7 linked regions of the Mus musculus genome follow. The protein of the gene in region 1 purifies or fractionates together with the protein of each later gene. This does not show direct contact. Links are inferred from orthologs where the notes say so. Each region holds a gene or a part of one and is shown in the gene's direction. Other genes may lie near its edges. The genes, in order: Fkbp5, Araf, Cdk4, Ptges3, Nudcd3, Ikbkg and Prkaa1.

Region 1 (3,500 bases):
GGTGACCTCCACATGTGCACCAGGGCACAGGCACACGTCATACACAGGTCATACATTAATCACACAGGAGTGAGACAGAGGAGCGCTGGCTCATTTTTTTTTAAAAGATTTATTTATTATTATAAATAAGTCTGTCCCCAGATGTACTAGAAGAGGGCATCAGATCTCATTACGGGTGGTTGTGAGCCACCATGTGGTTGCTGGGATTTGAACTCATGACCTTTAGAAGAACAGTCAGTGCTCTTACCCACTGAGCCATCTCACAGCCCCGGCTCATTTCTTAAGATGAGGTAGAAGATTACGAGTTGAGACTAGCTGGACTGTGTAATAAGACCTTATCTCAAAAGGCCAAAAGAGAGGGAGTTATATGTGGTGGTGAATGTGAGGGCAGCAGCTTTTCTTTATTTTACTAAATAATTTATTCTTTACTAAATACCAGACTCTTTGTGTGTATATACTGTGCCATGCATTTGGGGTGGGGGCTGTTATTATGTTGTCTGGGTCAGGAAACAGATTAAACTTGCACAGGTTTGCAAAGCAAACCTAAGGTTGGAATCTGGTACTTTGAACCCCTACAGTGCATAATCCTCCCTTTAGTAATCAAGAAAGAAAGTGAAGCTATTAAATAAAAAGGAGTTCAGAATTGAATGATAATATGCTGCCATATATTGAGGTGTTGGTTTGTATTGTTTTGTTTAGGTTTTTCAAGACAGGGTCTCACTATGTAGTCCTGGCTGTCTTGGCACTCTGTATGGACCAGGCTGGCCTTGATCTACCCACCTCTGCCTCCCAAGTGCTGGGATCAGTCCCCTAGAACTGAAGTTACAGACAGCTGTGAACTGCCAGGTGGTTGCTGGGAACTGAACCTGGGTCCTTGGGAAGAGTGGCCAGTGCTCTCCACCGCTGAGCCATGTCTCCAGCCCCTAAATGAGACATAGTTCATGCTGCACATGATAAGAGTATTACTCAAGCATGGTGCACACACCTGTCTGTCATCCAGGAGTCCTAGACCCAGACACCATCTGCCAGAATTCAGAGTTCTAGGCCACCTTGTGCTGCATTATGAGGCTGTCTTAAACTTTCAGAACAAAGACTTGTAAATATTGACACTGAACAGGTTGCCTGCTACAGGTCCATAAGAGAGCAGTAAAGCTGAGTTTCTCAAGTTGGCAAGAAAGGAAACTTCCCAAATGTTACAGTTCTTATGATTTGGCAGATCTGGGGTTTGTTTGAAGATTTTCTTTGACAGATTTGGTTTTTGTTTTTGTTTTCTTGTTTTCTCTTAGGCCAGGTTATCAAAGCCTGGGACATTGGGGTGTCTACTATGAAGAAAGGCGAGATCTGCCATTTATTATGTAAACCAGAATATGCTTATGGCTCGGCTGGCCACCTCCAAAAAATTCCATCAAATGCAACTCTCTTTTTTGAGGCAAGTATGTGTAGTGCTGTGCATGTGCGGCCATGACACGGAGCTGCGCTGGCCGCTGGCAGCCTGCTCCAGCTTATTTATTTTGGAGCTTGGCTTCTTGAATTGTTTCCCACACATCCAGGGGGTGTGCCAGTGCTTTCTTAGAAATGTGTCTGGCACAAAGTGGGCATATCCAAACAAACAAAAGTCACAGATGTGGAAGTAAAAGTTCTGGTCAGTAGAGGAAGTAAGTCATATGCATCCTGACAGGCTGGAAATGGTGGTGGGGAGTGTAAAGTTGTGAAGGTTTCCGACTGTCTCCTCATATCCATCAGGAGCTGTGAGTCGTGGTCCATTGTTTACTGCGCTGAATTAATTACACATAATTGGCCAAACTGGATCTTTATCTAACACGGTGAAAGCACTTCTCAAGTCAGTTGAAGGCCAGTTTCTTAAATCTTAAGGTGGCAAGGTCACAAGTCTGGGGTGGGAAGCGGTTGTCCTCAGAGTCAGCCAAGACTGTTTTGCGCCAGCACCTTGTCCTCCTGGCCTTTTGCCCACAAGGCAGTTGTCCTACTATTTCCTGTCTGTCTTTGCACGGCAGTCCCACAGGATGCAGTCCTAGACGGTGTCATTACACGGAGTTCCTTCCAAGAACTGCAGAGTACATCGCTCTCATGTCCCACGTTACTCTTATCTAAGCTGTATAGATAAAGATGTAGCTTAAAGTTTTATAAAAATAACTGTTAAACTGGCTTTCATCTTTGCATTCTAGATTGAGCTCCTTGATTTCAAAGGTGAGGATTTATTTGAAGATTCAGGCGTTATCCGTAGAATCAAACGGAAAGGCGAGGGATACTCAAACCCAAACGAAGGAGCAACGGTAAAAGGTGAGTAGTGAGTACTGCCGGGAGCCAGCCTTCCCTGAGGAAGGAGACATGCTTCTAAGAGAAAAAGTCATTAAACTGTCTATAAGAAGAAGAAAATCTATCTAAAACAACTAGAATGATTTTCTTGATTTTAGCATGTATATAATATTTAGACCAATATTTTATTACACAAGTCTAGTTTGGGTTTAGTTATTTTCTTCTTGCAGTGTTATAGGTAACATGTCATTCAGGATTGGTTCTAAACAAAGAAGCTCTCAACCAGGAACAGGAAATTGGGATCTAAGGCTGGCTCTGCACCTCTGGGCCTCTCCTGCGCCCTCACTTCTTCCAAGACTGAGGCTGTGCTGGGCTTCTTGGTCTCAAAGGCTCTGCGAGCCCCAAAAACCCACATTGGGAGTCGTGCTTATGAAAGTCGAAAAGGCTAGAGACAGCTGTGACACAGCCACTTAAAAGCTTACTCATAACATGTTTTCATCGTTTATTATGAAAAATTCAAATCTATACACCAGGGTTTTTCCTGTGCTGTGGGAACTCCTCCAGAGTCAGTGATTCATAACAACTTGTTTTGTTTTGATTTAGTTTTTGAGACAGGGCATTTGTTGAGACCAGGAAGTTAATAGGGCCATCCCCTGTCCCACTCTCGTTACCATACTAACTTCTTTTCTAGTCTGGATACAAATTCAAAACCTGGAGCTGCATTTAGCCCTCATGGCTTTATTCTATTCCAATGAATTAGTCTTCCATCTTTGTTTCCTGTGACTTTGACACTTTTTTGTTTTTGTTTGTTTGTTTGTTTGTTTTTCGAGACAGGGTTTCTCTGTGTAGCCCTGGCTGTCCTGTAGACCAGGCTGGCCTCAAACTCAGAAATCTGCTGCCTCTGCCTCCCGAGTGCTGGGATTAAAGGCGTGTGCCACCATCGCCCAGCAACTTTGACATTTTTGAAGACAACTTTCCATTTGCTAGAGAATCCCATAGTTGTTGTCTTATGCCCACAGGGACTAGATTGAGCTATTAGAAAATGCCCTGTGCGTGGCGCTATGCCCTCTTTAGCTCATCATTATCATCATCACCACCATCATCACCATCCCTGTCAAGAGGCATGTGGTGACTTGGCACTGGTGACTGAGGGCTAGGGTAGAGCCTCCCATGCTTCTCTTTTGTCAAGTTATTCTTTGTTGTGAGTGCTGAGTGCTTCAGAAACG
Region 2 (3,500 bases), on another chromosome or scaffold:
AAAAGAACTGGCTCCTGAAAGTTGTCCTCTGTTCTCCACATGTACACTGTGGCACACATGCTCTATATACACAGATGATCACAGACAAAGGAATCTTCATATTTGCTGGGAAGATAGCTCCATCAGTAAAGTGCTTAATATGTTTGTGATTGAGTTTAGATTCCCATCACCCACATAAAAAGTAAAAAGCTGGGTGCAGTGGTGCACACCTGTAATCCTAGCACTGGGAAAGCAGAGACAAGAGTGGATTACTGGTGCTTAGCCAGTCTAGGCAGTTGGTGAGGTCTAGGTTTAGTTAGAGATTCGGTCTCCAAAAATGAGGTGGAGCCGGGCGTGGTGGTGCACACCTTTAATCCCAGCACTTGGGAGGCAGAGACAGGCGGATTTCTGAGTTCGAGGCCAGCCTGGTCTACAAAGTGAGTTCCAGGATAGCCAGGGCTACACAGAGAAACCCTGTCTCGAAAAACCAAAAAAAAAAAAAAAAAAAAAAAAAAAAAAAAAAAAACCCAAAGAGGTGGAACACAATCAAGGGAGATAGATAATCCAACATCAACCTCTGGCTTCTCCACCCATGCACATGCACAGTCATGTATGTGTGCCACATACAAAACAATGTGGAGAGTGATTGAAGAATACACCTGACATTGACCTCTGGTCTCCGTTTGTGTGCACAGATGTACATGTACACGCATACCTGTATATTGCCTCTGTCTTTGTCTGTCTCTGTTTCTCTCTTATACACACGCACACGCACACACACACACAAATCCCTGTGTTGAGAATGTTGGTGCATGCCTGTAATCTTAGTACTTGGGAGAAATCCCTGTGTTGAGAATGATGGTGCATGCCTGTAATCTTAGTACTTGGGAGGCTGAGGCAGAAGGAACAACAGTTTGAGACCAGAACTGGTGTGATAATGTAGTAAAGTGCTTATCATGTAAGCAAGAAGACCTATGTTTGATCTCTAGCACCCATGTAAAAGGCTGGGTGTGGCAGCACAGGCTTACAAGCTCAGCACTGGAGAAACACAGATAGGAAGATTCCAGAGGTTCATCAGTCTAGACTAATTGGCATGTCCCAGGTCCCAGTGAAAAATCTCCTGCCTCAAAACCAGTTTATAAAATAATGCATGAACAACTCGAGTAGGTCCTGAAAACAACATCCTAGGTTGACCTCTGGCCTCCACTTAAGTCTTCATACACACGTACTAACACATACATGTATACTTTCACACACAGAAATACATAGATTGTTCAAAAAATCTGGAGTATGTGATGAAACCTAGTCTCAAAAAAAAATTTTTTTTGTGGTAGTACACATGTCTATACTCTTAGCACTTGGTAGGCTGAGGATCAGGAATTTGAAGCCAGCCTGCGATACATTAAACCCTGTTTCAAAAACCAAAACTAGAGCTGGGCGTTGGTGGTGCACACCTTTAATCCCAGTACTCGGGAGGCAGAGGCAGGCGGATTTCTGAGTTTGAGGCCAGCCTGGTCTACAGAGTGAGTTCCAGGACAGCCAGGACTACACAGAGAAACCCTGTCTCGAAACAACAACAACAAAAACCAAACCCCAAAAAACCCCCTAGTCCTTGTGTGTAAGTATGTATCCTCAGTGGTAGAGCATGTGCTTAGCATATGAAAGGTTATGTTCCAGCTCAAGTATCAAAACAAGAAGGGAATGTCCTGGTGCTCTGTTGTCTTCTGTGATCTAAATATTATCCCTGTTGTTTGCATTTGCGTACTCAAACAGTGGTTAATACTTAAGAATGTGGTTTTCTCATAAACTATATTAAAGAGGTTTGCATGTGACAGTTTCCATGAAGTAGACTCAGGTACCCAGAAACAAACTGGAAGTTTCAGAATGTTTACTGTTTGTCCAGCTGTTTTAAGGACCGCTCAGACCATTTGTTCACCCTTTGTGACATCCTCAGAAAGCCGCTGCTGTAATGATAGCAGTTGTATGGTTTGGGAACAAGAGGACCAAAGTGGTTAGAAGTCCTCTTCAAGGTTGTACAATGAGTGACTGGTAAAGGTTTGGGTTGTAACATGGTTTCGGACTCTAGATTCTTTGCCTCTAAGCCTCTCAGTGATTAGTAAACTGTCATCCTCCCATGTCACACATGTCTCTATGTCTTGAGCCTCTCTCTCTCAGTATTGATAAAGAAGGTTGGCTTCCTACTTTGTCATCTGTAACATAGCCACTGCTAGGTATGGTGGCTAATGCCCATGATCCCAGAGCTTGCGAGGTTGGGTCAGAAGGATCACTGAGAGCTTGCGGCCTGCCCAGGCTACTTAGCTCCAGGCCAGCTTGGTATACAACATAAGACCCTGTTCCAAAGCCATAAAAAAATAATAAAATAAAATAGAATTTTGTTGAGGACGGTCAGAACATCAACCTCTACTCAGCTCCCAGAAGCCCATCAAGTCTCACAGATTGCGATCTGACAACATTTGGCCCTGAGCACCCTTGAAGACAAGGTAAGATCGCTTTTCCTATTGCTGAGTAAACACATGACACTTGTTCTATTTCTTGACCCCTTCCCCCAACCTACCCTCCCTGCCTACAGGAAGACACGGCATGTCAACATTTTGCTGTTCATGGGTTTCATGACTCGGCCGGGGTTTGCCATCATCACACAGTGGTGTGAGGGTTCCAGCCTCTACCACCACCTACATGTGGCTGACACGCGCTTTGACATGGTCCAGCTCATTGATGTGGCCCGGCAGACTGCCCAGGGCATGGAGTGAGCCTCACATCTTAGAGACTTGGGGAGGTGGGAGGGATAGCTGAAATAGTCTCCAGACAATTCACTACCCACTTCCATCTCCACAGCTACCTCCACGCCAAGAACATCATTCATCGAGACCTAAAGTCCAACAGTATCTACCTGTCCCTGGCTGGGACTGGGGGTGGGTAGTAATCAGAGTGGTAGTTTAAAGGGATGATTTGGGGGGTAAGATTCTGGAGGTGAAGAGGGAAGGGCCTATATCCTGTGGTTTCTTGCCAGGTAACAGAGCTATACCTGGTAAAGGGCCTTTTAAATGAAGGACCTTTGTTTAGGAGTCAGATGGTTCACGTACTGTTGGGTACTCTGCTCAGGTGAGATGTAGTAGTTGTAGATGACATTACAGTGTCCCAGGCATGATAGCTTTAGGTGTCATCCAGGAGACTTGTTGGTTTTGGGTCACAATGGAACCAAGTGGGGTCCTATCAGTCGTAGATAGTATGAAATGGGGGTGGCTTCTGGCAAGAGACATAACTCACTAGAACAGGGGTTCTGAGAACCATCCAGTAAGGGTATGAGGCATAGCTATTGGGATTCCTTGTAATGGCCCTTGACCCTGCTGGATATCTTCTTACATGAGGGGCTCACAGTCAAGATTGGTGACTTCGGCCTGGCCACAGTGAAGACACGGTGGAGTGGGGCACAGCCCTTAGAGCAGCCCTCAGGGTCTGTGCTATGGATGGTAAGTTGGGCCAGGCTAGATGGGGAGCAA
Region 3 (4,297 bases), on another chromosome or scaffold:
TGCTCATGCCTATAAAAACAGCATTTAGGGGCTTTAGCACAAAAATTGCAATTAATTTGAGACCAGCCTCAACTCTAGTGTCTCAAATATGATTTTAGAATTTAGGGTTCAGGAATATAGCTCAGTGACTGAACCCATGCTTACTGCATATAAAAACACTAACTCCAAGCCGGGTGTGGTGGCACACGCCTTTAATCCCAGCACTCAGGAGGCAGAGGCAGGCAGATTTCCAAGTTCGAGGCCAGCCTAGTCTACAGAGTGAGTTCCAGGACAGCCAGGGCTACACAGAGAAACCCTGTCTCGAAAATCCAAAAAACCAACCAAACAAACAAACAAAAAAACACTAACTCCAATCCCCAGCACCCCCACCCCAAATCAATTTAAAATAGCTCTAGATTTTAGGCAATTTTTCACAAATGGGAACATGGTCCTTCATCCCATATCCCTAAGAGGTGGGAGACAATAAAGGAGTTGGAGCAGACGAAATCGTCACACAGATCTACCTCTGTCTAACTAGATTTCTGTAGGCAGACCATTTAGGAAACGCTGATCAGATCAAGAATATGTTCTAAGCTGGACTGGGGAAAAAATAGGAACATGACCCCAACGAGGAGTTGCAGGTTTGCAAAAGGACACGTCATCTTCCAGCAATGTGGTGGTGACTGACCCTGGACATGCTTACCCTGTCATCTGTTTATGCAATCACATATATATGTAGCAATCTTAGTGTAAAGACTCTTGTAAAATCAAGAACCCCTATTTTCAATCACTTCTTGCTGCTTTTAATATTCCTGGGGAGGTTTACAGGTTGGGAAGAGGGAGGGCATTAAATTGCTGCCCCCCCATACCCATACAGTGGCTTATTATATTTCCTTCTGTCCATCTTTTAATCCTAGTTTCCTCCTCAGATAGAAATTATTTATTCCCTGTTTTATAAGACCACAATTACCTATACTAGTTATCTTTATCATCACTTCAAAGGGCGAGTGACTGAGACACCAAAACAAAAACATCGCATACCAACTGGAAGGAAGCACTTAGTAAAATTGTGTTGAATGAATGAGTAAAAGAAAGACACAAATACGAATGTTTCCCCATGGCGGTGGAGTGGAAATGTTACAGCACCATTTCTGGCACCAGGATCTCCCACTAACACCTCGACCTCCCGCCCACTCAGAGACCCATAGTGAGACTGAAGATGCGCTCTGGCTCGGCCTTGAGCCCAGAGTTGAGAGCTGGTTGGCCCGGTTGCCATGACACCGCCTTGTGCTCCACCCTCTCTCGCCCCCACACACCCCCTCGGCAGTCAGGGTATGGCAGCCAGTCACGTGCCACACAGCGTAACCACACCTCTGCTTCCCAGCGCAAAGTCAAGGGGTCACGTGGGATAGCAACAGGTCACGTGGCCGTCAGGGCCCCGCCCCCTTCCCCACCACACCCCTCCCATCAAAGCAGCCCGGGTTGCCCACTGCGCAAGGGTGAAGATCACGTGTCCAGAACGTCCGGCGCCCGCCCCGCCCCCCGGGTTTCCGCGCGCCTCTCTGGCAGCTGGTCACATGGTGAGGGTGGGGGTGAGGGGGCCTCTCTAGCTCGCGGCCTGTGTCTATGGTCTGGCCCGAAGCGTCCAGCTGCCCGGGACCGATCCCCGGTGTATGGCGCCGCAGGAACCGGCTCCCGGGCCCAGATAAAGGGCCACCTCCAGAGCTCTTAGCCGAGCGTAAGGTGAGTGCAGTCTCATCCAGGATCGGGGGACCAGTCCCCGCCACCACCAGCACCCTCCAGCTCCCCACGCGTGCGCGTCGCTGGCTGATTATGGAAGGTGGCCCAATGGCGGGAAGTGGGGCCTTTGTGGTCGCGGGCAAGGGTGTGATTTTGGAGAGTGAAGTGCAGAATCTTCGGTGCAAACCCTGTGCACTGTGTGATCCTCTTTGTGCCTAGTGCGATGTCCTCCGAAAGGAAAGAAAGCATTCTTTTTCTTCCTCCGGGACAAAACGTGGCCGGAGGAGGAGGGTTTGATGGGAGTCTTTGTGTTACCTAAGGCGCGGGCCCTGGAAGTGTGGAGGGGTGGGATGTTGCTGATCGCGTTGGCGAGGTCTTGTGCAGGAGTTCCTTTGTTACCGCCGGGTCATCCCCCTCCTAACCGTGAGAGTGAGTTTGGTATTAGAAGCCTCTGTGATTGTAGATCCCCTGCTTCGAGAATGGCTGCCACTCGATATGAACCCGTGGCTGAAATTGGTGTCGGTGCCTATGGGACGGTGTACAAAGCCCGAGATCCCCACAGTGGCCACTTTGTGGCCCTCAAGAGTGTGAGAGTTCCTAATGGAGGAGCAGCTGGAGGGGGCCTTCCCGTCAGCACAGTTCGTGAGGTGGCCTTGTTAAGGAGGCTGGAGGCCTTTGAACATCCCAATGTTGTACGGTGAGAAGGTTGGATTGGGAGTGGGGCGGAGAGGACAATAGGACCCGTAAGGCAGGAGTGGGACCCTAGAACGCCAGAGGCCACGTTGAGACAAAGGGGACGACTAGCTGGTGATCATTTGTTCTTCTCAGGCTGATGGATGTCTGTGCTACTTCCCGAACTGATCGGGACATCAAGGTCACCCTAGTGTTTGAGCATATAGACCAGGACCTGAGGACATACCTGGACAAAGCACCTCCACCGGGCCTGCCGGTTGAGACCATTAAGGTGAGTAGGGGTGGGGCTGGGGGCGAGGGTGGACCGATCTTTGCAATAGAAGTTGTTGGGATTTTGAAGTGATACATAGTTTCCGGTGTTCTGTGCTTTCTTCTTGAAAAACAGGATCTAATGCGTCAGTTTCTAAGCGGCCTGGATTTTCTTCATGCAAACTGCATTGTTCACCGGGACCTGAAGCCAGAGAACATTCTAGTGACAAGTAATGGGACCGTCAAGCTGGCTGACTTTGGCCTAGCTAGAATCTACAGCTACCAGATGGCCCTCACGCCTGTGGTCAGTAAAAGGCGTTAGCCGACTAGGTTGTGATAGGGGTAGCTCTTGGTGGTTTCCCATAGCAACTGAGGAGTCTTGTACATGAAGTTTTCAGAGCCAGGCAGGTCTGGTTCGTGAGGTCGACACTCACTCATTTCTACTATTCTCTTCAGGTGGTTACGCTCTGGTACCGAGCTCCTGAAGTTCTTCTGCAGTCTACATACGCAACACCCGTGGACATGTGGAGCGTTGGCTGTATCTTTGCAGAGATGTTCCGTCGGAAGTATGGGACTAGAAACTTTTTGTTGTTAATGGTACAGGGTTAGTCCTGGCCGTAGATCAGGTTGGCCTTGAACTCACAGAGCCCTGGGATTAAAGGCATGCGTTACCACCGCCCGTATGGGACTTGAAGCTCTTAACCTACCTTCAGTTGCACATAGCTTTGGCTGCTTGTCTTACTGTGCTAGAGGTTGAAATCAGAACTCACACACACTCAGTAAATGCTTCCGTGCCACTGAACTTCACACTCCGTCGGCCCCCAAGTCTTTTACAGACATGCCTGTTCTTGACCATTCGCTTTTGTGCATGTATGGTACGGGACATCCAGCCTACCCAGTTCATACTGACCACCTTGCCTAGAACCAAGAAACCATATAGGCATGCCCTGGATTTAGGATCTTCCCGTTCCTCGTCTCCACACTCTCTAGTTGGGTCTACATAACGGTTACTCCTCAATTTTTTTTTTCTTTTAAAAATGTATTTATTTCCATGTATGTGAGTACACTCACTGTCTTCAGACACACCAGAAAAGGACTTCAGATTACATTACAGATGGTTGTGAACCACCGTGTGGTTGCTGGGAATTGAACTCAGGACCTCCGGAAGAGCAGTCTTATCTGCTGAGCCGTCTCTCCAGCCCCCACTCCCCTATTTTTGATATAACACATACTTTGAGTCTTTTTCTGCCTTAGGCCTCTCTTCTGTGGAAACTCTGAAGCCGACCAGTTGGGGAAAATCTTTGAGTAAGTATTTGATAAGGAAAAGGAAAGACATTTCCTGCTGCCGCGGAGACAGGAGCTGGGAAAGGCCCCTCCTAACAGAGTTGTCCTGTCCCCACAGTCTCATTGGATTGCCTCCAGAAGACGACTGGCCTCGAGAGGTATCTCTACCTCGAGGAGCCTTTGCCCCCAGAGGGCCTCGGCCAGTGCAGTCAGTGGTGCCAGAGATGGAGGAGTCTGGAGCGCAGCTGCTACTGGTACTGGACCTGGGCGGGGATTGGGTTAAGATAAGAAATACCGTGGCCTGGGGAACTGGCTCAGTGGGTAGAGTTCCTTTGCATAAGTGTGAGGACCT
Region 4 (3,500 bases), on another chromosome or scaffold:
CCACAATGGGCTGGGCCCTTTCCTATCAATCACTAAGAAATGTACTATAGTATAGGCCTTCTTACAGTCTGATCTTATAGAAGCATTTTCTCCTTTGAGGCTCCTGTCTCTAGGATTGTGTAGAATTGACATGAACTAGCCAGCCACCTTTCTACATCTGTGTTACCCAAAGCTTACTGTATGTAACTGGCTTTCTAATCTCTTTCTCTGTCTCACTTTTTTTTTTTTTTTTAGTTGTCTTGGAGGAAGCGATAATTTTAAGCATTTAAATGAAATTGATCTTTTTCATTGTATCGATCCAAATGTAAGTACCATTGATGCTTTTTTTCTGATTTAAATGATGAGAAGCTGGGCGTGCTGCTGTTATCTTAGGGTTTGTTGCTGTGAGGAAACCATGACATGGCAGTTTTTATAAAGGGAAACGGGCTGGTTTCCAGCTCAAGGATTCAGTCCATTGTTGTCACAGAGGGAAGCATGATGGCATGTAGGCAGATAATTGTGCCAGAGAAGTAACTAAGGGTTCTACACCTGGAGAGGCAGGAAGAGACATCAAAGCCCACCTGAAGAGGCACACTCCCCCCAATAGTGCCACCCTTCTCAACAATGCCAGTCCCTATGAGCCTGTGAGGCCACTTTCATTTAAACTACCACAATAATAAACATTAAATCTTAAATCTGCTTAGCCTAACAGTTTAGACACTCAGCAACCTCTCTTCCTACATATTTTTTATTCTGTCACTGGCAAAATGACAGTACCTTTGAAATCTTTCTATCTTCTATCAGAAATTTTGAGTAGCCAAAAAGCTTGTTTGGAAAGAAATTTTAAAAAATGAATCAGGCTTGTGGCTATAAGCTGAAAGTTTAGGAAGTAGTAGCAACTCAGAAAAGCTTTGCCTATGTAGGAAAACCACCTCAGAGGAAAGAGACAAAACTTTGTGTAGAGGATCCCTCAAACACTCAGGGGGCTAATTGTGGAGGATCTTGGGTTCAAGACTGGGCTGCACAGTAACAACCAAATTATGAAGGTCCAGCTCTGTTACAGAGAACTTTCCTAGCATGTTTCAAGGTCCTAAATATTATCCCTTAGCAGTATGGTGGGAGGGCTGTTTTTATCATAGCAGAGAGATGAGTGATATGATGCTTTTGTTGTAGGATTCCAAGCATAAAAGAACAGACAGATCGATTTTATGTTGTTTGCGAAAAGGAGAATCCGGCCAGTCATGGCCTAGGTTAACAAAGGAAAGGGCAAAGGTAGGTTGGGTTTTTTGTTTTGTTTTGGTTTCTGTTTGATTGTTTTAATGTTTTAAGAATTAAAAATAGGTGTCTTTTACTCCTGCTTCTTTCGCTTGCCTCTTGCCCCTTTGCTCTCCCTTTCTCCCCATTCCGTCTTGCCCCCTCCCCTCTCCAAGTGGTCATGGTTGGCCTCTACTTCTCCACTTTCTCCTCTGCTTTTCTCTGCTTCTGCTATTCTCTTAACTCCCCTCCCTATGTCCTGAATAAGCTCTATTCTGTACTTTAAAAAAATAAAATAAAAATAGGGCAAAGAGCTGGCTAAGAGGTTAAGAGCACTCACTGTCTGCTCTTTGGAAGGTCCTGTGTTCAATTCTCAGCAACCACATGGTGGCTCACAACCATCTATAATGAGATCTAGTGCCCTCTTCTGGCCTGTAGGCAGAATCTTTTTAAGCCTAAAAATACTTTTTTTTTTTTGGCTTTTCTAGACAGGGTTTCACTGTATAGCCCTGGCTGTCCTGGAACTCACTTTGTAAACTCAGAAATCCACCTGCCTCTGCCTCCTGAGTGCTGGGATTAAAGGCGTGTGCCACCACTCCCGGCAATACATTTTTATAATTGTAAAAAAGCTGGTGTTCTATACTTGGCATTCTCATCAAATGTCATAAAATCAGACCGTAGTTGATTAGGATCTTTTGCATTGGAGAGACAAACTTTTGCATCAGGTGTGGTGGCACACTTGAGGCTAAGGCAGAAAGGTTGTGACATCAAGACTAGCTTGCCTGGGTTTCTTAGTTACTATTGATGTGACGAAACACCATTTGAAACAATTTGGGGAGGAAAGAGTTTATTTATATTGCTTATACTTCATATTCTTAGTCCATCATAGCAGAGCAAGAACTTGGAGGCAGGAGCTGCTAGTCCATGGAGGGTGCTGCTTGCTTCTCATGGCTTGTCCAGCCTCTGTTTCTTATAGAACCCAGGACTGCCAGCACAGGGATGACCCCCACCCCAAGTGAGCTCGGCCCTTCAATCACTAATTAAGTAAATGCCTTACATCTGGATCTTACGATGGCATTTTTCTCAGTTGGGTTCCCTCCTCTCAGAGGACTGTAACCAGTGTTGAGGTGACAAATTAGCCAGCATACTGATAAGTTACTTGGTTACTGTAGGGGAGCAAAGTTTAGTGACATTCAAGATTCAAGGAACTGAGGATAGGCTGGCAGGGTGAAGGTGATTAACTGCCAAACCTGAAGGCCTGAGTTCTGATCACAAGATGGTACAAGGGGAGAGTATGTTAGAAACAGGATATTTCTTTGAATTTGAGGCCAGCCAAGTACCTTCATAGTGAGGTACTGCGTAGACTGTAAACAGTGGCACTGGGGTATCTCAGTTGACAGAATACCTAATATGCACAAAGCTGTAGGTTGGAAACAACCTAACAGCATGACCTATAATCCATCTCTAAAGACGGATTAATAGTTGAATGTTAGCCTTTGTAAATTGGATTAATTCCAGGTATCATGCAATACTTCCCAATAAATGTTTTTGTATGAAAGGTTAAATTGGACAGTCAAAAATGATTCCTGGAGCCAGTCTGTGGTGGCGCAGGCCTTTAATCCCAGCACTAGGGAGGCAGAGGCAGGCAGATTTCTGAGTTCCAGGCCAGCCTGGTCTACAAAGTGAGTTCCAGGACAGCCAGGGCTACACAGAGAAACCCTGTCTCGGGGGGAAGAAAAATGATTCCTTGACTTATTACCCCTCTTGGTTTCTTGTGGATTTTTCTTTTTGAGCTGATTTTATGTCTCATTACTGGTTATGAATAACATGGAGGTGATATTGTTGATCTCTAGCTTAATTGGCTCAGTGTGGACTTCAATAATTGGAAAGACTGGGAGGATGACTCAGATGAAGACATGTCGAATTTTGACCGTTTCTCTGAGGTAAGTTTTTTTAATTGCATTTTCTACCCTGTTCCCATAATATATTCTATATAATCCTTTTAATCCCTTTTTTCTTTTTCCATTTTAATGTGTATGGATAGTTTTTGCCTGCATATATGTGTCTGTGCACCACTTGGGACATGGTTCCAAGGCAGAGTCTGAAGGTGGTGTCAGGGTCCCTGGTAATGGAGTTACAGAGGGTTCCGAGCCACTATGTGGTTGTTAGAAATCAAACCCCAGCCTTCTGAAAGAGTAACAGGTGCTCTCAACCACTCCTTGGTCACCCTTTTTGGTTTTCTGGACAGAAACCCATGTAGTCAGGAC
Region 5 (4,251 bases), on another chromosome or scaffold:
AGACCCTGAGTTTGTCTCCTAGAACTACAAGAAAACAAAAGTAAAATCAGTATTTTGCTCTGTGTGGTGGCATATATCTTTACTTCTGCACTTGGCAGGCAGAAACAGGCATATTTCTGTGAATTTGAGGACAGTTTGGTCTATACAGCGAGTTCCAGGGCAGCCAAGGCTGCAGAGTAAGACAATGTCTTTTAAAAAAGTTAATTTGTAGATGTTAGTTAGTCTAGTAGAGATGAAATTCATTAAAATCTTTTTTGTTGTTGTTGTTGTTTTTTTTCCGGTCAGGATCTCCTTGCAGAGCCCAAGTTGGTCTTGAACTGGCTATGTGGATGAATAAACATTTCTGGTTCTGTCGCCACCTTCCCAGTGCTAGGTTTACAGGTATGGGTTACTACACAGTTTATACAACATTCAGGACACATTAGTCACACATGTGGGTTACTACACAGTTTATACAACACTCAGGACACATTAGTCACACACTTTACCAATTTAGCTACATTGAATGAAAAAAAAACAAAAAGGAGGACATGATGGCTTCTAGGTATGGTGGAGGAGGTTTATTGTAGACAGGAGGGAGCAGACAGCCAGAAGCAGAGGCATCTGGGAGAATTCAGGGTGGAAGTGGCTGTAGAATGAGCTGGGCCATGTGAGAAGGGTTAGGGGAGAGGGTAGAAGAGACCTGGAGTCAAGAGGCCAGGAGACCAAGAGGCCAAAGGGTAAAAAGGACCTCATAACCAAAATGGCTGGGTTACATAGGAATCAGAGAAGCTTGGGGAGGAAAAGGCCAGCTCAGACTCTGGACTGGAGAAGTTTAGGGTAGAGGTCAGGATTAGTATGCCAGCCAGAAGGATCCTGTACCAGAAGGTACTGAGGGAGACTGGTGGCCAGAGTCTGCTTTGATATTTTATTAGGCATCTCAGCCATTTGTCTTCGGTTTGTGACCTAGCATATGTTCCTAATCTGTCTGTCTTTCGTCTCCCCCCAACCCTCTTCTGAGACTGGGTTTGACTCTATAGCCCAGGTTGGCCATGATTTGGATGCGGGGATTACAGGTATAAACCACAGATTGATTGTGTGTCAACCTTACATAAACGTTTTCTTAAAATGTCTATATGCACGTATTAGTAACGGCACGTGTATACACACATGCTATACATACGGATGCACACACACATATTTACAGTATCATACTTCTTTTTTTCCTTCACTGAGCTTTTCACACTTTTCTTGTCCTTTCAAGTCACCTTGAAATCTGGTGCAACCTTCTGAGTTTCACTCATAGCTCTGTTAATAGGAATTCCATACAATTCTACAATATTCCTTTTCCGTTCCCTCCGCTAACAAACAAAATGTGGTATTATAAGAAGGCGCACCAGACACCTACGCAGGAATTCAATCCAGAAAGAAGAAAGGCTCCCAGACCACGTGACACCTCCAGGGACTACGTCAAGTGGCCGTCACCACAATGCTTCCGCCCTCTTCAAACATGGTTGGCAAGCGCTCTCCGCATCGTGACCATGGTTATTCTTGCATGTAGGAACCGTACTGAGCGCATACCAATCTCCTTTAGGCAAGTGTCGCGGCGGAGGAGATCCAGCAGAGCCGCAAGAACGACGATCGGTTACCGCCGGTAGTAACAAGCGCGGACCGGAAGTTCCGCGTCTTCGCTGTCCGGGGGGAGCCGTTAGGCGCGCACGCCGGAAGTGGCCAATCAGCCGGTGTGAGGCGGTGCCCACTGTGTTCGCGTCCCTCGGGCAGCAGAGCCATGGAGCCCGGGGCTGCTGAGCTTTATGACCAGGCCCTGTTGGGCATCCTGCAGCACGTGGGCAATGTCCAGGACTTTCTGCGCGTGCTCTTCGGCTTTCTCTACCGCAAGACCGACTTCTACCGCCTGCTGCGCCACCCTTCGGACCGCATGGGCTTCCCGCCCGGGGCCGCACAGGCCCTGGTGCTGCAGGTGAGGTGGAGAGAGGCGGCGGGCCGTTGGGGTCCAGCAGGTCCTTACCCCAGTTCCACCTCCCAGCGCCAGAGGTGCCCCGGCTCGCGTCCTACGTCTGGGAACTGCGCCACTCCGTAGCCCACCCTTCAGGGTTTGTGATTCTCTCTGGGGTGCCACCAGGTGATTTGAGTAAATGGCCAGGCGTTATCTGACCCACGGATCCGTTGGCAGGAATGCGCTTCTTTGGGTACAGGCTGGGTTTGTGCGGGAGATGCTTAGGTGTTGGACCTGTCAGCCTGGGTTTGAGGGCCTCCCAGCGCCCTGTGGGCATCCCCAGAACGGTGCAAGGGGCTTGTTAGGCAGGGTTCAAACCGTGCAGGCTGTAGGAGGAGGACTTTCACAGCGGGAGAAACTAGTAGATTTCAGAATTCCCGGGCTCGGAGGTGGCAGGAATGACTGGTATGTATTGATTGGTGGGTGTGGCCTCTTGCCAGTGACTTACTAAGTTGGTGGACAATTGTAATGTTTACGAAATTTACATTTGGATTAAAATTTATATGTCCTAGGTTATATTTATTGTTTTTGAAGCGTTACTAATGACTGACTCAAGTTGTTTGGACACCTTTTTAAAAACTGTTTTCTTTCGAGACAAGATCTTGCTGTGTAGCCCTGGTTGACTTGGAACTTGCCAGGTAGATCAGGATGGCTTCGAACTTATGGTCCTCCTTCCCGACGCTCCCGCGCTGGGATTGTTGACATTGTTGAGTTAGTAATAAGCAAACATTTAATGAATATATTTAACACTCTCAGCTGCGGTATAGACTCTGATGGTATGGATATTTAAATAATGGTCTGTCTACTTTTGACACTGTACAGAGAGTAAAGCACAGACACTAATAGAGAGCTCTGCTAGTTCTCTGTGTGGTAGAGCTCTTTGGAAGGAAGTGATAGAAGTGGTAGTTAGGAAATTGAGACAGTTTTGTAGGAGACGTTGAAGTAGGTTTTGAGGGGCGTGTAGAGTCTGATTCACAAACCTATAAAGTGCTTCATGTCACCTTTGCTGTTTGTTGACCCCTGCATCAGCCCCAGACAGGGCTTTCCTGTGTAGCTCTGAAGTCCTGGAACTCACTCTGGCATCAACCTCAGATATCTGCCTAGGATTAAAGACTCGAATTGCCACCACCTGGCTTACCTTCCATCTTAATCTGTTCTGTGGGCTTGTCAGGGGTTACTTTCTTCAGTTCCTCTCAGTGGAAGAAGCCAAAGCTTAGAATGTTCTAGTAACTCTTAACATAATGACCATGAGGTGATCAGTGGGAAGGTTTGCTACTGAGTTTCAGTTTCAGAATGGAAACCGATGAGTCCCTGGGGTAGCTCATCCTTATCAGTGGCCCAAGTGCTGCTGGTTGAGTAATTGGAGAGGGTGAGAGGTGGCACCTTGTGTTTCTTTATAATGAAGTCTTGCCACCTGATCGCCATGCTCTCTGAATCTGACGTAGTAGTTCAACAAGGTTAGATGACAACAAGAACTTCACTCTGTTTCCTGCAACTCAGGACTTCAGTTTTCTAATTCCAAATCTTTTTGCCCTTTTTGTCATTTAGCCACTCCATAGTATGGTGAGAACTTTTGTTTTGGTTATGAAAGGAGGAAAGAGTATCCCAGTGGCTGGCTGGCATTTGAATTTCTTCTGTATAACATCTTATTTTAGCTTTAACACAATTTGAGAGGTTGGTTCTTGTTTGTCTGATGAACTGATAAAGGCAAGATAGATGCACTTATCGTACAACTTTATAAAACAGCTACCTCTGAAAGGTTAAGATAGCTCTATAGGTTACAGTGTGGTGCCCATGCTATGGGAGGTAGGGAGCCGAGGAAGGGACAGGGTCAACCAAATATTTCAAGGTTCCAAATCTGGGTAACTGGAAGAGTGAGGTCATTAACTGTATTGTCACTTGGATTTGGGGGGTGGGAAAGTTTTAGATAAGTTGAATTTGAGATCGCAGACAGGTTCTGGCTTCAGAGCTGTTGGAATGGTAGGACTGGATCTTGCAGGAGATGGAAGGACTGTGAAGTCTGAAGAAGAGCCCAGTGTAGAGGACAGCTGGGGAACGGTCACCGTAAGGGGCATTGGGTTCTACCGCAGCCAAGGTTACAGTCCCAAGTACAGGTTTAAGAGTTGTTTGTTCTTACCCTTTCTCCAACCCCAGGTGGTTCTCAACCATCAGCCTTGACCGAGAGCCCTTTTATCTTCTCAGTTTCTTTCTTTTGTGGGGTGGGAGGTTGAAGACAAGGTTTCTCTGTGTAGCTT
Region 6 (4,023 bases), on another chromosome or scaffold:
TTTAATATAATTCACCTAGGACATCCACTGTGGGCAGCTAGATAAAATCTGGTTACGGCATCACACTCTGTATATGGGACCATCGTATCGTACTCGGGTGTCTGCCAGAAACTCCACAATGAACTGAGCACGTTTGATTGTGCAGATGATGGAGTTCAGCTCCGGCTCTCTTCTGGCCCAGTTGGGTGATCCCCGAAAGTCCCTTCTCTTCTAAAGGTCTAGTCCTCATGGGCCCAATGCGGGGAAAGTGCGGGATACAAAGGGATGGGTTAAAAACTTGTAGATTAGCGCGCATCAAAGGGACTCGCGGCGTACAAGCGTGAAGCATGTCCCTCCACCGACATGCCATCAGACCACCCCTTTACCTGAGTTTAGTTGCCGCTGCCAAACACGTTCACAGATCTGTAGCGCACAGCCAGTTTCCGGGGGCTAAGCTTCGCTGGCCCATTTAACGCAAGAGGGCGTGTGCTTTGACTGAGCTGACCCGCCTCAGGAGAGGCAGGAGGGGAGGAGCTTCGGGCTAGTCTATCATTGCAGGAGGAGATGCGCGCGCATCCCTGGCCAGCCCCGCCCTTTGGCCTTCCCCGATGCCGCTGCCCCTACAATTTCGAGATCGCAAAGTCTTGTCATAAGTGCAGCTCCACACAGTTCTCCTGGGTCCCCGTCTCCTGTGTCACCCAGCCATTATGTATGGCCTAGCTTTCCGCTGGACCTTCGAGGCCCTGCACCTTCCCGGATGACCCCACTTCCGTTAGCAGCATAGCCACGCCTTCCCTAGCTGCTAGTTTGGCTTCGGAGCTGGACTTTCGCAGCTTCCTCTAGGCTTTTTCCTTGGTGGGGGCCCAGCGGCAGAGAGCCCAGTAGCAGGACCAGACTGAAACTTGGGTGTTTTAGTGCGGATGCGGTGCCTTGAAAATGGGGTAGGGGCGAGTGTGGGCGTGGTGACGCACTACTTTAATCCTAGCAGACGGGAAAAAAGAGGCAGGTAGATCTCTGAGTTCGAGACCCTGGTCTTATGGGACCCTGTCTCAAAAAAAAAGTGTGTGTATAAGTGTGTGATGTTTATCAGTGAGGAGAGCTCTGGTGTTCTGCTGGCCGACGCAGGCTGGCGATCTAAGACTTTTCTTTGGAACAGAGTATGGCACTTTGGGGTTTTGATTCACTGGTTAATCTCCAAGCCTTTGAGTCTGTGTTTTACTTCCGGATCCCGCACTTACGACACCGGAAGCCGGAAGTGGAGTTTTCCACTGCAGAGAAGGGAAGGGTGACCGCCTGACTAGGACTTTCTAGGAGCTCCGGTTCTGTCGGAGCGGTCGGATCCCTCTGCTCCTGCCCTCTTCACTTCTGGCCGACTCTGCTGACAGGTGTGGTCCTCTTCTCCAAAGACAGGGCTCCATCGGTGGCTGTTTCGTAGCTTCCGAGACTCCAGAGGTCCACACCCTTCCCCCCACCTTAGGCCCAGTTTGTTCTGCCGCAAGCTTCTAATTATTCGCTACCCAGATTATTTAGGCTAGTCGGATTGAATCTGCCCTTCCCTTCACTGCAGCTGTCGCCTAAGGGCTTGGCCCCTAGTGCTAGAACTCTTTAGGTAGCAGACATTTTCTGTTGATCAAACTGTTTCTGAAACACGTTTTGCACTGTAGGCCAGGTAGACCTCGAACTCAAAGTTCTGCCTCAGCCTTTCGAGTGCTAGAGCAACAGGTGTTCGCCATCAGGCTAGGCTGTTTATCAAACTTGAGTGCATTTGAAGTCTTTAAAAAGTTTTCACGTGTACCTTCACAACTAAAGGTCTTACCTTCTGCACCTCAGTTTACTTTGCAAATGATTCATAGTAATCTGTTTGCCTGTCCTCATAACATTTATCTGACCTGAGAAGGAATGTGTTGTCTTGGCATTTCCTAGGAAAAAGGAAGGACCAGAGAGGGCAAGGGAGAATAGTTGGTGGAGAGGAAGGAAGGGAGTATAGGTGGTATAGGATCTTGTAGGCTGTTGTATGGACTTTGCTTTTTAACACTAGGAGAAATGGAAACTCTGAAAGAGTTCATGGTAGAGAAGAGAAGTAGTTTGAGTTATTTTTGAGGTAATTGGCCCCAGTGGGGCCAATTAACTGCAAAGGGCCATTGAAAAGGCAAAGCATGGTGACCCGTAAAGAGATTATTGCAGTAATGCAGGTGAAAGATGATAGCGCTGTCAGCCTTGAATTACTGAAAAAATTTAAAATGTACAAAAGTAGAAATAATAATATAGTAAATTCCATGTACACATTTCTTAGCTGTGACTATCAGCTCATAGTTAACTTTAATCCACACCCCATTACAATCCTTTACCATGATTATTTTCTTTTCTACAGAAGATGTTATTTTATGTGTATAGGTGCTTTGCTATGCTTTCCTAGTGCCCAAGGGAGTCAGAAGAAGGTTTCAGATCCCCTTGGATTGGAGTTACAGATGTTTGTGAGCCACATCTGCAACAACAAGTGCTCTTAATCCCTGAACCATTATCTCTCTTGCTCCACCCATTGCGATTTTCAATAACAGCTTTCTTGAGACATAATTGGCATGCTACAAAAATTACTATTTGTGTGTGTGCCCCCCACATGCATGCATGATGTATGATTTGTACAGGGAGCACAGGTGCCATGGCTAGAATGTGTAGAGCTCAGAGGACAACATTGAGTCAGCTATCTTCTTTCCACCTTTATATGTTCTCATGTCTCCAGGCTTGCATAGCAAGGGCCTTTATCCACTGAGCTGTCTCCCTTGCCCATACTTCAATATTTTTTTAAACAGTCTCTTCTAGATCCCTTCCCTTTGAGTTTCTAATCCCCTGGAGCTGGAGTTACAAAAGGTTGTGAGTTGCCCAACATGGGTGCTGGGAACTGAACTTGGGCTCTCTGGAAGAGCACTGAGTGCTCCTAATAGCTGAGACATCTCTCCAACTTCTTTTAAGACTTCTAGACATCCAAGTAGTTTTATAAATATCTGGAATTTAGGAATGAGAACTGTTTGGGATATTATCAACATTAAGATTTGGGTTAAAAGCCATGAGACCGGATGGAATTACTGCAGGGGTGAATGCAGTTAAGAAAGAAGTCCCAAAGTTCCTCAACGTGAAGAAGTGGGGACTCAGGAAAAGGGCCTGAGCAGCATCAGCCTTTGAGGGAGTGAGTCACCAGCAGAGAAGGCTTTTCTGGAACCTGAAGGAAGAAAGTAGGTGAAAAAGTGGGGAGGGTCAGTTGTGTGGGCTCAGGCAGATGGACCTATGGGTAGCAACACCTTTAGTATAAATAGCCAATATTCCCCAGTGTTACAGGAGGTCTCCCTTATTGAAAGCCCACTTCTGGAAACTTGCATTGAGATCATTCTCTTCCTGGTTGTCAGTATGAGGCAGGATTTACAAGGTCTCCAGGTTAGTATTGTCCTGCATATTCTCTGGTTTAAAAGCCAGCATAAGCAGATCAGGGGTCATGTGTCTCGGACACCCCAGTTCACACTTTCACACTTCTTAGAGCAAAGAAGTCACAAGAGGTCTCTATCCCCAGTGAACACTTTTCAGGTACAATGTGGTCTCCTGAAGTCTCTTTTATCATGTGTTTGTGTTTTCTTGACTCCTGTAAGAAGTGACCACAGGCCAAGTGGCTTAAAAGAACAGAAAATTGATATCTCACAGGTCTGGAGGCCAGGAGAATAAAACCAGAAGGTGAACAAGGTTATGCTTCATCTGCAAGCTGTACAAGAGTATCCTTCATGTGTCTTATAGTTGTGGGTAGCTCAGTTGTTTCTTGGCCTGTGGTTATATCAATCTAGTTGAGTAATAAGGTACTTGTTACTGGGCTCATGGCCCACCTATATAACTTGCAGTGATCTCAATTTGAGAGCCTTGATTTTTGTGAGACAGGTTCTTACTATGTAGAGCAAGCTGGCCTTGAATTCGCAGAGATTGTGCCTTCTAAGTGCTGGGATTAAAGACATGCACCACTATGCCTGGCTTGAAATCCTTAGTTTAACTACATCTGTAAAGACC
Region 7 (3,500 bases), on another chromosome or scaffold:
TGTGCTTGCCACTACCCAGTGAGTCTGTGGTTTTAATAAATATCTCCTAGCAGTGATATTAATTTACAGGTTATTAGTTTACTGTTTCTTAGTTGGTGTGAAAGTCAAGAGTGCTATACTATGTATCCCATGTTGACTGGCCATTGTATGTATTTTTTGTGCTGTGTGTAGAAGTGGTAAGGTGCTTTACAAAGGCACGCTTGCTCTATTTGAGAATGTAAATAAAACCAGTGTGCTTTGGAGAACTGGTTAGTAGTCTCACTTAGGTGCTGCTTAAACACTTGAGGGAGAAATAGATAATAAAACATTGAAATTCTTTCCACCCAGATGAGATTACAGAAGCCAAATCAGGGACTGCTACTCCACAGAGATCGGGATCCATCAGCAACTATCGATCTTGCCAAAGGAGTGACTCTGATGCCGAAGCTCAAGGAAAGCCCTCAGACGTCTCCCTTACCTCATCTGTCACCTCCCTCGACTCCTCCCCTGTCGACGTAGCTCCAAGACCAGGAAGTCATACAATAGAATTTTTTGAAATGTGTGCAAATCTAATTAAAATTCTTGCACAGTAAACCTAAAATTTTGCTTATTTCTTTGATGCAATAAGCATGCATAATAAATAATAGCCAAATACTTCCACTTACCAAGTTATATATATGTGTGTATATAACTGAGGATTGGCCTTTTGGAATGCAGTTTGCACAGGGACTGGAAAACGATTGATCGTTAAAAGCCTGATGTGCAGAATTGAATGAGGATCACTCTGTTATCCCGTATTCAGTAGGTACACACAGCGTAACACACACACAATGGACTGTAGGTCTCAAGCTTACTTGACTTTTGGCCATTTGAATTTGCTGTAACAGGTCTCAGTCGACCATAAATTTACCATAAAGCCTTCACATATTAGTACATGTTGATGTATTTTATATTAGCTTCATGAATTTATTGAGTTGCCTGGAATCCTCATAGACCTTATTAGATAATGCTGTTTTCTGGGCTCCTTAACTTCCAAAATAGCTACTAGTTTCCATTTTTGGTTACATTGTGAACTATTTCCATATTCCTCTTAACATGCTATTTTTGTGTAGTAAGTCATTTCAGAGAGCAGTCTGGATTTAACATTTTTCTTTGGCTTGTGAGCCCCCAAAGCCCCAGAATTTATATGTTCAGACCCTCCAAGCCCTGAATTTACTTTTTCAGGTTTGCCCTTTTATATATGAAGTGCTGCTTTGGATCCAAGAGCCGAGTTGCTCACACTGTAGTGAATCGTGTTGCTTCTGTCAGTGCACAGAGACGCTATCATGTCAGCCAGTGTTGAATGTCTTTGGTATTTTCTAAGCCAATCCAGTGCATAGAAAGGACAGTGTTTATACGCTCTGAATGCTAGGATTGGGGTTTTAGCCCCTGATTTTATTCTGGACAATTTTTAAAGAAAGAAAAGTTGCAAGAATTTAGTGACTGCATGTGTATTTACTACTTAGCTCCTACAACTACTGTTTGGCCATATTTGCTCTCTAGATCCACACATGTATAATATACAGATATGCACATATATTCGAGTATATGTTTGCTTTTATTCTGAACCACTGAGATGTTAAGGTATATATATATATATATATATACCAGCCCTGAATACTTCAGCACTTCCTAAAAATAATAATAATGTCCTTTAGAAACCTTCTGAAACCATTATAAAATCAATAATTTCCAGATAGTGCCTGGTTTTCCAGATTAGCTGTAACTGCCCAGAATTCCATTTAAGTTACAGCCTGATTTTATTTGCAGTTCTTTAATCAGGTTAATAACACTATTTTGAAAAGATGTAGAAGAAATCCTTTCTTCAAACTGGCCAAGTTTATTTCAGGTTTTAATTCAAAATAATGAGTGGCTAAAGAAGTGTGATTTTTCTTCAATCTCTGATTTATATGCCTCTCTCCTTTTAGTGGTAGCATAGCATAATGGGTGTAAGTGAAGATTTAAGTCACGCTAGACAAAGCCGGTATTGTGTGAGCTAATAATTAATGTCATATTGGCCATATTTGGTTTCCTTTAAGTTTAGGAAATTGGTCAGAGGCTCTAGCCCAGTGGTGAGGCTGGGTCATCTCCAGCAACGTGAAACAAAATGCATTTTCTTTAAACATTAACCATCCCCCCTTTGTAAGAGAGACTTTTCCCCCCACTGCATTCATTTAAAAATATTTTGCCCCATCCCCAAACCTGTCCAGCACTTATGTAAGAACGCATTTGGAGGACATGATAGCTTGCATAAAAGATGACGCTATAGTTTATGCACTGATTTCCGGACAAAAATGATGCTTCTTTTTGTTCGGGGCTTGTTTTATTCAACTCCGAATTGAATGCTGTATAAAGTAATGGAGACTCCATTTACCTGAGTTCCTGACTGTATTTATACCTGTGTGTTTGTGCCCTCTGTGTGGGGCTCCCTGATGTCACGTATGCTGTCTGAATGCAGCGCTGTATTCCCGCTGTGTAGAACAGAAGGCTGCATTTGTAAAGTTATAGATTTGTAAATAAAACTGAGGAATATCTCTATAAACTGTTGGGGGGACGGGGCACAAAAGGAGGAGCCAACTAAATAGGACCTTCTAAAATTTGTTAATTTTGTAATCTTTGCTTCTTTTATAAGTTATTCTGTGATTCCTTTTAGTTACCGAGTTTTATTTTGAAGACATTAAAATATTGCACTTGTATAAATAGTATGATAAATGCAGACTATTGCAGTCAAATTTTTTAAAAGCTAGGATATCTGAAATGACAACTTTCAGTTAAGTATGTCAAGCCCAGGACAGGATTTTCACAAATGTATTGTAGTTTGCAAATTCTTACACTGAAAATGTAAAGGGAGTCAATGCAAATGATTTTTAATCTTTTTTTTATTATCTTTTCAGCAATTTATATTTTCTTGTGATTTTATGCAACCATATTTTTACTTTGTCTTGACAACTGAAAGCTGTGTGATGTTTTTGACAGAAAAGTACTGTATACATAGTTTTAAATATAACAGATTTTGCTGATATGTAAAAATTTTGCCATTAAAGTTGATTTCTCATGAAAGGAACTTTTCTACCAAGTCGGGAGACGCAAGAGCTTAATATATCTAATTTAAAATAATTTCACTGAAATAAACACCATTGCTTTTACTTTGATTCTATTTTTTTCTTAAGATGCTTTTATAGTGTTTGGGAGTTTTAGATAATTTTATATGAATTCTCTCCCTACCTTGCCCCATCCTTTGGATCTTTGATACCATTCACAAATAAACTCATGTGGCTGGGTGTGTAAAGATATGTACCCCAAGGGGCATCTTGGGAAAGAAAACCATAAATTCTTCTCCTTAACTCCTCCCTCTGCCTGTTCATTGTGGGCTCTGACATGATGAATGGAATGCCACACACAGCCTGACTGTAAGCCGTTGTTGGGAGGAGTCCACCATTGTGGCTTATGTATGTTTGCCCAGAGTAACCTGATTTAGAAAG

Evidence for each region.
Region 2: the proteins of Fkbp5 (region 1) and Araf purify together in Homo sapiens (affinity purification with mass spectrometry; 4 studies listed by BioGRID and IntAct, with this or other methods). This does not show direct contact. The link is inferred for Mus musculus from reciprocal best matches to the Homo sapiens genes FKBP5 and ARAF.
Region 3: the proteins of Fkbp5 (region 1) and Cdk4 purify together in Homo sapiens (affinity purification with mass spectrometry; 3 studies listed by BioGRID and IntAct, counting the BioPlex papers as one, with this or other methods). This does not show direct contact. The link is inferred for Mus musculus from reciprocal best matches to the Homo sapiens genes FKBP5 and CDK4.
Region 4: the proteins of Fkbp5 (region 1) and Ptges3 purify together in Homo sapiens (affinity purification with mass spectrometry; 4 studies listed by BioGRID and IntAct, with this or other methods). This does not show direct contact. The link is inferred for Mus musculus from reciprocal best matches to the Homo sapiens genes FKBP5 and PTGES3.
Region 5: the proteins of Fkbp5 (region 1) and Nudcd3 purify together in Homo sapiens (affinity purification with mass spectrometry; 3 studies listed by BioGRID and IntAct, with this or other methods). This does not show direct contact. The link is inferred for Mus musculus from reciprocal best matches to the Homo sapiens genes FKBP5 and NUDCD3.
Region 6: the proteins of Fkbp5 (region 1) and Ikbkg purify together in Homo sapiens (affinity purification with mass spectrometry; 3 studies listed by BioGRID and IntAct, with this or other methods). This does not show direct contact. The link is inferred for Mus musculus from reciprocal best matches to the Homo sapiens genes FKBP5 and IKBKG.
Region 7: the proteins of Fkbp5 (region 1) and Prkaa1 purify together in Homo sapiens (affinity purification with mass spectrometry; 3 studies listed by BioGRID and IntAct, with this or other methods). This does not show direct contact. The link is inferred for Mus musculus from reciprocal best matches to the Homo sapiens genes FKBP5 and PRKAA1.

Annotation. Positions count from the first base shown.
Region 1 is NC_000083.6:28,427,150-28,430,649, reverse strand, and holds part of Fkbp5 (peptidyl-prolyl cis-trans isomerase FKBP5), read left to right. Parts: intron 1-1,286; coding exon 1,287-1,429; intron 1,430-2,183; coding exon 2,184-2,298; intron 2,299-3,500. UniProt on the Homo sapiens protein: Immunophilin protein with PPIase and co-chaperone activities. Component of unligated steroid receptors heterocomplexes through interaction with heat-shock protein 90 (HSP90).
Region 2 is NC_000086.7:20,855,043-20,858,542, forward strand, and holds part of Araf (serine/threonine-protein kinase A-Raf), read left to right. Parts: intron 1-2,569; coding exon 2,570-2,746; intron 2,747-2,835; coding exon 2,836-2,882; intron 2,883-3,351; coding exon 3,352-3,470; intron 3,471-3,500. UniProt on the Homo sapiens protein: Involved in the transduction of mitogenic signals from the cell membrane to the nucleus. May also regulate the TOR signaling cascade. Phosphorylates PFKFB2.
Region 3 is NC_000076.6:127,062,038-127,066,334, forward strand, and holds the start of Cdk4 (cyclin-dependent kinase 4), read left to right. Parts: upstream 1-1,497; 5' UTR 1,498-1,722; intron 1,723-2,182; 5' UTR 2,183-2,198; coding exon 2,199-2,416; intron 2,417-2,547; coding exon 2,548-2,683; intron 2,684-2,797; coding exon 2,798-2,965; intron 2,966-3,117; coding exon 3,118-3,227; intron 3,228-3,915; coding exon 3,916-3,966; intron 3,967-4,063; coding exon 4,064-4,199; intron 4,200-4,297.
Region 4 is NC_000076.6:128,068,982-128,072,481, forward strand, and holds part of Ptges3 (prostaglandin E synthase 3), read left to right. Parts: intron 1-234; coding exon 235-304; intron 305-1,152; coding exon 1,153-1,251; intron 1,252-3,086; coding exon 3,087-3,176; intron 3,177-3,500. UniProt on the Homo sapiens protein: Cytosolic prostaglandin synthase that catalyzes the oxidoreduction of prostaglandin endoperoxide H2 (PGH2) to prostaglandin E2 (PGE2).
Region 5 is NC_000077.6:6,197,652-6,201,902, reverse strand, and holds the start of Nudcd3 (nudC domain-containing protein 3), read left to right. Parts: upstream 1-1,451; 5' UTR 1,452-1,768; coding exon 1,769-1,960; intron 1,961-4,251.
Region 6 is NC_000086.7:74,428,458-74,432,480, forward strand, and holds the start of Ikbkg (NF-kappa-B essential modulator), read left to right. Parts: upstream 1-1,223; 5' UTR 1,224-1,364; exon of another isoform or gene 1,365-3,209; intron 3,210-4,023. UniProt on the Homo sapiens protein: Regulatory subunit of the IKK core complex which phosphorylates inhibitors of NF-kappa-B thus leading to the dissociation of the inhibitor/NF-kappa-B complex and ultimately the degradation of the inhibitor.
Region 7 is NC_000081.6:5,178,361-5,181,860, forward strand, and holds part of Prkaa1 (5'-AMP-activated protein kinase catalytic subunit alpha-1), read left to right. Parts: intron 1-327; coding exon 328-572; 3' UTR 573-3,500. UniProt on the Homo sapiens protein: Catalytic subunit of AMP-activated protein kinase (AMPK), an energy sensor protein kinase that plays a key role in regulating cellular energy metabolism.